2 separate regions of the Mus musculus genome follow, and region 1 is reported to be linked to region 2. Evidence: microRNA targets listed by miRTarBase, many of them from high-throughput screens and not tested one by one. Region 2 holds a microRNA gene; the other region holds the end of a gene's coding sequence.

What was found. Region 2 holds the annotated microRNA mmu-miR-146a-5p (UGAGAACUGAAUUCCAUGGGUU, at 2,275-2,296, opposite strand). A microRNA usually pairs through its seed, bases 2 to 8, with sites in the 3' UTR of a target mRNA and lowers its output. Matches are read on the target gene's strand: a 7mer-m8 pairs with bases 2 to 8, a 7mer-A1 pairs with bases 2 to 7 and ends in A, and an 8mer does both.
Region 1: miRTarBase lists Traf6 as a target of mmu-miR-146a-5p. Seed matches in the 3' UTR shown: 8mer at 1,211-1,218, 8mer at 1,275-1,282 and 8mer at 2,087-2,094.

What each region holds. Positions count from the first base shown.
Region 1 is chr2:101,696,749-101,701,003 of GRCm38, forward strand. It overlaps Traf6 (TNF receptor-associated factor 6), which reads left to right. Exons shown (of 7, transcript NM_001303273.1): 7 at 1-4,255. The coding sequence ends at 751. Among named protein-coding and RNA genes, the nearest start is that of Traf6, 20 kb to the left of the region's middle.
Region 2 is chr11:43,372,161-43,376,742 of GRCm38, forward strand. Mir146 (microRNA 146) reads right to left here and starts at 2,301; the gene lies at 2,237-2,301.

The DNA of each region.
Region 1 (4,255 bases), not on the chromosome of region 2:
CCTTGCTTTGCGTCCGTGCGATGCCGCCTCTCCATCCCGGGGATGTCGTCCAGAGGACCCAAATTATGAGGAAACTATCAAACAGTTGGAGAGTCGCCTAGTAAGACAGGACCATCAGATCCGGGAGCTGACTGCCAAAATGGAAACTCAGAGTATGTACGTGGGCGAGCTCAAACGGACCATTCGGACCCTGGAGGACAAGGTTGCCGAAATGGAAGCACAGCAGTGTAACGGGATCTACATTTGGAAGATTGGCAACTTTGGGATGCACTTGAAATCCCAAGAAGAGGAAAGACCTGTTGTCATCCATAGCCCTGGATTCTACACAGGCAGACCTGGGTACAAGCTGTGCATGCGCCTGCATCTTCAGTTACCGACAGCTCAGCGCTGTGCAAACTATATATCCCTTTTTGTCCACACAATGCAAGGAGAATATGACAGCCACCTCCCCTGGCCCTTCCAGGGTACAATACGCCTTACAATTCTCGACCAGTCTGAAGCACTTATAAGGCAAAACCACGAAGAGGTCATGGACGCCAAACCAGAACTGCTTGCCTTTCAGCGACCCACAATCCCACGGAACCCCAAAGGTTTTGGCTATGTAACATTTATGCACCTGGAAGCCTTAAGACAGGGAACCTTCATTAAGGATGATACATTACTAGTGCGCTGTGAAGTCTCTACCCGCTTTGACATGGGTGGCCTTCGGAAGGAGGGTTTCCAGCCACGAAGTACTGATGCGGGGGTGTAGCGTCCATGTACTTGTGTTCAAAAACTAGGAACCATATGGGAAAACCGTGCCTTCCATGCCTGGCCCCAGTAAACAATGTTCAAACAAGCAGTGGGAGAGGTGTAAGGCCTAGCAGCAGATGTCATCAGTGAGGTCACGAGCCACTTCTTACTGTTAACAAATACCTGAGGCAGTTCCCATGGGAACCTACATGTCCCCTGTATCTTCAAAACGTCAACATTTGAAGGGCCTGTGGCTCATCTGTCTGTCAGGGTACCCCTTCACTGTGCTTCCATGGGCTATTTTGTCCGTGTACTTTACTGTAAAAAAGGCCAGACTTAGCGTGCTGCAGCTCAATCGTTTAATAAGACCGGTGCCTTAAAAACTTGAGGGGTTTTTAGGACACTGATTACTATATTAAACATGAAAATCACCACTGCCTGTGCTGGTGCCAGTAGAGAAGTTACCGCTCTGGTGTTGAGTTCTCATTTAGTTGACTCCTGTGAATTTCAGAGGCTTTGAACCATGATCCCTGGAAGGCTTAAGTTCTCAAGTACTCCCTCCTCTATAGTTCACTAAGGATCCAGGGACTGGTTTAACCCTTACTTAGTGTGAATGTATTGTCCACTGAACACCAAGCATCCCCCACTACTTTCCTGTTTTGAAATATGCTCCAGGCGGCCTCTTCCCAGTCTGTAAGACCGCGGTCATGTGCTTGCCAACTGCTGAGTGTTACTGCCATGGAACCTTTCTTGTCTGTCCCGTGCAGCTTGGTTTCCACAGCCGGTTGCATATCTTCTGTTGCTTGCAAACACAAAATCACCAGCCCAAACGAGTGATTTAGCTCACTAGCCATTAAATGGCATCTCGTGGATGATGACAGCAACTCTTACAGCCAGGAAACTTCAGCCCCTCTTAACTAGCTTTTGATTTAGCTTATAAGGTTAATTGAAATAAAATTGATTTTTCTCAAGGGGTTGGAGAATTGGCTCAGTGGTTAAGAGCCTTGGCTGCTCTTCCAGAGGATCCCCAGTCTGTAACTCCAGTTCCAGGGCATCTGACACCCTCATACAGACACTCATGCAGGCAAAACACCAGTGCACATAAAATTAAACAAACAAATAAATAAATAAATTGATTTCCTCAAAACAGAATTTATTGGAACTTGGGAAATTGTAGGTACCTGAGAGATGCCTAAACCAAGGTTGGCTATCACGGTTGTGTGGACACTCAGCTTGAGTGGTGGCTTTGTCCAGCTCAGTAGAGGTTCTGATCTGTGACCCTAATGTGGAGAGGTGACTGTCGTGCTGCTGTGTATTTGTTAATGTCCTGTACATATACAGTACTTTGGAGTCTAGTTCTCAGGGAGCCCTACGACTAGTTAGAGCCTTTGTAAGGAAGCAGAGGGGATCCTCTCCTGCTGTTTACACAAGATCAGCTATGTGTTCTGGTGGTAAGAAAGGCATCCGTGCCTTCAGCTGAATCAGAGACCCGAGCAGTGCTCTGACCTGCCCTGTTCCCAGAGAACGCTCAGAGCCTCCACCAAGGAGTCTGTTTCTCAGCTGTAGCCAGCCAGGGCCACTTTGACCTCTTCATTTTCCCCTGCTTCCATCCTTCCCCTATAAAGGTGAGGGGAAGACCTTGTCCCCTACCATTATCACAAGCTCATCACAGGTCTCTTCTGTTGGATCCAGGAAATGTGTGTCCCTTAGCTGTGCCTCCAGCAGCCCTGAGCTGCTTGTAGCAACTTCTGCCTAAGGAGCACTGCATGGTCTTATACTGTAGTTGTTTCCCAGTGGAGTAATAAATGTGGGCTTGTTTGTTGTTTCTTTAAAGCAAGCAGTAGCTGTGTCTATATTTATTTAGAAATTGCCTGAAGAAGATTACTCAACTATTTGAAGACTTATTTTCTATATGCCTTTCTTAATTTTTTTATGTTATATGTCACCACAAAAATATGAACTCCCCAACCCCCTCTCCGTTTTTTGAAAAAGGAAATGACATTTAAGAACTTCCTCATCAGATTTCTCTTTTTAAAATATCTGTATTAGGAAGAGCAGTCGTTTCCTGCCGTGGTTTTGACTTTTTTTAAAAAAAACTCTAACATCTTTTAAAGTTTTTTTGCATAAGTTAAACTGTTCCCAGCTTTAAATTGTCCTCCCTATAGGGCAAGTTGGACTAGGTGTTTCTAGTATCCGCATTGAGAAGCCCAGTGCTGAGCCACAATACTCACTAAAAGGCTTTCCCCGTAGAGGTGTGACTGCCCCTAACTGCTAACACGGATGGTTCACTGCAGTGTAATGTCCATCCGCTAGAATACACCTCAGGTAGTTTTAGAACTTGCAGCATTTGGTGTTTGTAATAAGCCAACCAGTTACTTTATGTTACTCAATTGCCACGAATGCAGAGTAAAACTAATCAAGCTGACATTCAAGGTCAACACTTAGTAAGGTCAACTCAGGATCAAGTCTTAGCCTAGAAAGCCGCTTTCTTTACTTCACCACTTTCTGAACATTCTCTTTGTACCAATGGGCCTATAAGAATCCGTATAGTCCAGAGTGCATTGGCCATCTTTCCTTACCAATCTAGAACACTGCTGAATTTAAAGTTGTTTCTTCTTAGAAAAATGCCTACCTTACTATTGAAGATTTTTCCCCAAGTCATATATTTCCCTCTTAGAAATCAGGCCAGACGGCAGTTCTAGTTTGGAAGTTGGTTACAGTCCTTTGGCTGTTACCATCTCTAGCCATTCTGCTTTCTTCTGGAGAATGAAGAGGAGAAAAGTGCATTAAAGTACAAAAGGTGTCCTCTCACCCTCGGAAGATCAACTGACAGGTGTTGGATGATCTCCAACAAGTAAATTTTGTGACCAGTATAAAGTTGAATTTGTACCAATATCAAACAAAGTCTGACCAATGTAAATTATGTGCACAATTAGAATATCTTCTCCTTAAGGAGAGGTTGCTTGTTTCTGCTTTACCTGGAGTTTCCTTCTTTCGCATGTGACTGGAAAACGTTTTAACTTTAACTATCGAGGTGATTCTTACTTAAGACTTTGAAGTGCTTTTCTCTCTTTTTCTGTCGTTAACACACATCTTTTCTTGACTTGACTCAAATTCTCGCCATTGTTACAGTTTTTTATGGGGTGTTTGGTGATTAGTTTGCTGGCTGCCTTGAGGGAGTGAACAGGGCACGGTCAAGCGTCGTTTGATTGTCTGTTGAAATACTCTTTAAATGTCGGCATTCTCAGGGTAACTGTCATTTGTTTCAAAGTTGATGTGATTGTCTGGGAAATGGATGGATGCTTCCCAATTCCCAGAATCCAGAAAAATGAAACCAGATGTGATCAACCTGAACTTGGGACACTCTCGGTCACAAGCGTTGAAGTCACTCAAAAAGGACTAAGCTAGTTATTTCTCTGTGGGTCCTCTGTGTCTTTGATGTTTTAAATTGCTCAGCCCCGCCCCAATAAATAAATAAATAAATAAGAAAAGAAAAGAGTTGTAGTTTTTCACATTGTGGAAT
Region 2 (4,582 bases):
GAGGGATTTTTATGGAGACGTCCCTCTTAAGGTTGAGTGTTCTGCGGTCTCTCATTCTCTGCATATACTCTGGCTCTGGATCTCTACTTGTTTCCATCTTCTGGAACAGGAAGCTTCTCTGATAATGACTGAGCAAGGCATAGATTTGCTTCTCTGGCTACTATGGCTGAAGATTTCCCATTGAGTCTGGTTCGGATTTTTTAATTTGACAACCATAGCTCTTTGGTATCAACTTGACAAGATCTGAAATTATCTAGAAGACATAGCTCCAATTATCCCTAGGAGGGGTTATTTAGATCGAGTTACCCCTGGAGGATGCCTGTGAGGTGATTAAGTTAATTGATGTAAGAAGAGCCACCATAAAGTAGGGTGGCACCCTTCCCTGGGTAGTGTCCTGGACTTCATGCAAAGGAGAAAGTGAGCTGTGCGCATCTGCTGCTCTCCACGGCTTGTCTGCCGAGGTCATGTGGCCAGCAGCTCTCAAGCTTCTCATGCTATGACTTCCTCCATGATGAACAATACCCTTGAACTGTGAGCCAAAATCAACCATTATTTTTGCCAGGCCATTTTATCATAATAACAGGGGAAAAAATCCTTTTGTTGATGTGTCTATATTATGGAGATGAGGCTTGGTAAGATTCACTGAGATCGTATAGGCAAAGCCCTGGATTTAGGAGTCGATGCACAGTAAACACCTACGTTCCTCAGTTGAAAGACTGAGCATGTGGGTGCTGTACAGTCCCCCATCTCATGCTACCTCCCTCTCTTTTCATTCAGAGACAAGAGTAAGAAGGAAATCCCAGGACACCAAGACGTAGTGATGAGTCAAAGAGGAGTTCCCAAAGCACAGGGCACATTCCTAATTCCCCACTAATTCAAAAGCTTAATAAAGTCCAGATAATCAGCAGCAGCAAATCAAGCCCAACTCTCAGAAGAGACCCAACATGCTTGGTGACAGAGGTCTTTATTGCCTCTCTACAAGGACCTGAGCCCCATCATTTAATAGACTATATGTCCAAATAGACTTTCTAAGGCTTCTTAATCCTCATCCCTGGAAGAAACTGTCAGTTACAGTGGAGTGTAATTACAACTTCTTTTGTCTTGTTTGGAGGTACAAAAGAACACTCTACCCCTTGTTTGCTTAAAGTAGGCAAGAAAGCACAGGTTCAAATAAAAGGGATGAGGGGCTATAAGAAGGATGTGTTCTTTATCCTTTTTTGCTACATATCTGAAAAAGCAGCCAAACACCTCAGCAGACCATGCTAAAGGATAATTGCCACATACAATTAATTCCATCTGGTCCCATAAAGAGACTGGGAAATCACTGCTTGGCAATCCTGTGTCTCTCAAGCTTCATTAAAGTGGTGTTTCCCATGAGTCTCCTATAACAGCATGCATAGCACTTAGTCCCCTTCATACCTGACTCATCCTAAATCATGGAAATGTAAACAAGAGTCACAGCAGCAAGAACCACTCAGTGAGGCTATTTATAGGATGCTTCGCTTTTCCCAACCGGAGGAGGAATTGCCATACTATATTGCTTAGCACTGTCAACCTGACACAATCTTGGATCATTTAGAAAGAGTGTTAGTGAGGGATCATCTCGATCAGGTTGACCTATGTATATCTGTGGATGGATATATTGATTATATTAATTGGCATAGGAAGATCCAAGCCCACTGTAGGCAGCATCATTCCCTAGGCAGGTGATCCTAGACTCTTTAAGTGTAGAGAGGGGGTCAAGTACAAGTAAGCATATATATTTTTTCTCTATTTTTTTCCTCTTTGTTGAGACACAATCTCACTATATAGCTCTGGCTAGCCTGGAACTTGCTCTGTACATCAGGCTGGCCTACCAGAGAGCCACCTGCCTCTGCTTCCAAATTTCTTGGAGTGAAGGTATGTGCCACAATGTTTGGCTCTCTTTTTCTTCTTGACGATGTATGAGACGAGCTGCTTCAAGTTCCTACTTTGTCTTCCCTATAATGATCAGCTGTGACCTGGAATTATAATCTAATAAACCCTTTCTCCCCTAAATTGTTTTTGTCAAGATATTTTATCAGAGCAACAGAAATGAAATTAGAACACACATCAATCCAACATGACTCCCTCCGGTGCCAGCAGTTCCACGCTTCACCCCACTCTCTCCACTCTTCAAGTTCCTTGGCAGACTATGAAGGCCTTCAGAGTTTGTTCCAACCAGTGTTCTTCAGGTCCGTGATGACAGAGCTATCCCAGCTGAAGAACTGAATTTCACAGGTCTGACATTGATATAACCCATGGAATTCAGTTCTCAGAGCTGGGGATACACACAGACTCTCCAGATGAGGCCTTCCTCCCAGGCCAGATCCTGCCAGCCCTGTAAAAACACAAGAGAAATCTCTGATAAATCCAAAAGCACGGCCTCTGCAGACTGGACACTCTTGATGCATAAGGATCTGGGACACAAGATAGGCAAGTTCATAAGCAATCATTAAACATGCTGGGCATGTGGTGCAAGCCTGTAATCTCAACATTCATGAGCCTGCAGCAGGAGAAATGTCAGTTTGAGGCCACCCCATAATCCCAGCGAAGAAGAAGGTGCATCAAGAGGACTGCTGGTCCAAGGGCAGCCTGAAGTACGTAGCAAGATTTTCTCAAAAGCAATCAGGAACATGACAGATGGTCTTTCCGTCCCCACTGTGCCCTCATACATGTGCCCCTGGCCTGGAAAACTGCCCTCAACGCCTATTCCTCCTGAGGCTCTCACCTACTGAATCACCTCCTCAGCAAGACCATCAATAGCAGAGATGACTGGATTGTCACCCTGTGTCTCTTCTGTGTTCACCGAACCCACCACCCCTCCCCCCCACACACCGTGTACACACACTCCTGGCACAAAGGCCCCATTTCCTAGAGTGACCCAGTTCTACATGGAGACAGAGCGCACAGTACAGCTGCACCCACACCATGCAATGTGGGCCATGCACCACCCATGATAGGGCAGGGCATGGCACTAGATGATCTTTGAAACTGTATTTCTTCACGTCAGCAAGAGCAGGACCTTCCCCTTTTCAAGCCACTGCTATTTAGGCATCTGTTAGAATCATTGAGTGTAATAGCCTCACTAATACCTCGTCTCCGTTCCCCAGTGATACCTGCCATTCTCCTGTGTCATGTTCAATCCTTCCCTTCATAGTTATAAACTAATTGATAGAGCCTTTGATGTCATTGTTGATAAATACTATCTCCCAAACAAGACTATATTTTCACAGGGGCAGAGCCCATGCTAGTGCTTTTTTTTGAAAGTATATAAACAACAGCTCGGCAAAATGGAGCATTCCTGTAACCCTAGCACTCTTGAGGTTAAGGCAGGAGGATTTCTGTGAGTTCAAGGTCATCCTGGGTAGCATTATGGGTTCCAGACCAACTAGCATTATAGAGTAAGTCTCTGAACAAAAGACCCCCCTACAACAACAAGTAATTTTTTTTAAATAATTGTAACTGTTTCTTTGAAATAGAACTCACGACTATACAATTTACCTACTCATAAAGGATAAAACTCAATGGCTTTCAATATTACCATGAAGTTGTTTGATAGCCACCATAGTTAATCTAAGAATGTTTTAATCATCCCTAAACTACATGCTAATCACATTTACTCCTGACTTCTATACCCGACCTCTAGGCCATGTAAATACATATTATTTCCACTTTTCCTAAATATTTATTTTTTATTGTTTATTTTAAGTATGTGTAAGTGTGTGTGTGTGTGTGTGTGTGTGTGTGTGTGTGTGTACATGAATGCAGGTGGCAAAGGAGGCTACAGAGTCCCCCTAGAGCTAGATTTACAAGTTGTTGTGAGCCACCAACATGGGTTCTGGGGAGCAAACTTGGCACCTCTGCAAGAACAGTCTGTGCTTTTAAACACAGCCCCCTCTCCAGCCCACCTCTGCTCTATCTCAACTACAAATGCTTCTAGGGCCATTCCCAGCTCTGTGCTGATAGATGCTGTCATTTCTCTTGACTCTGTAACTCAGAGTAGATGGTGGGGTTCCATTACATCCATGTCTCTTTAGAGAACTCTCACACTCTCCACTAAAGCTGCTCCACCATTTGACATTTCCTCCGCCAGGGTCTGGGGGTTCCTTTCTCCACAGCCTTGCTATATGGCCTGACTTTTTGATTGTAGTTCTCCCAGCAGGTACAAAGCGGTGCCTCACTGTGGTTTTGATTTGCCTCTCCCTGGTGGCTAATGAGGTTGCGCACCTTTTCATCTATTTACTGCATTTGCACAGCTACTTTGTTCAGACAAAAAAAAAAAATTCACATATTTTGCAACTTCTAAACTGGGCTGTTTGTCTTTTTATCATTAAATTATAAGAATTATATTCTAGATATATCATATGATTCATATTTCCAGGGGGGGTTCTGACCCTATAAGCTCACTTTTAACTTTTTTCATGTCGGAGTAGGGAGTAGGTGTTGGTTCCATAATATTATTTCCAGCTTCTAGAACACACTTGGATCATAGACACAGTCCAGAAATTTTTTTTCAAGAAAGGAGACAGAGTAAATGCTATCCTGGGTTCTTAAATTCATT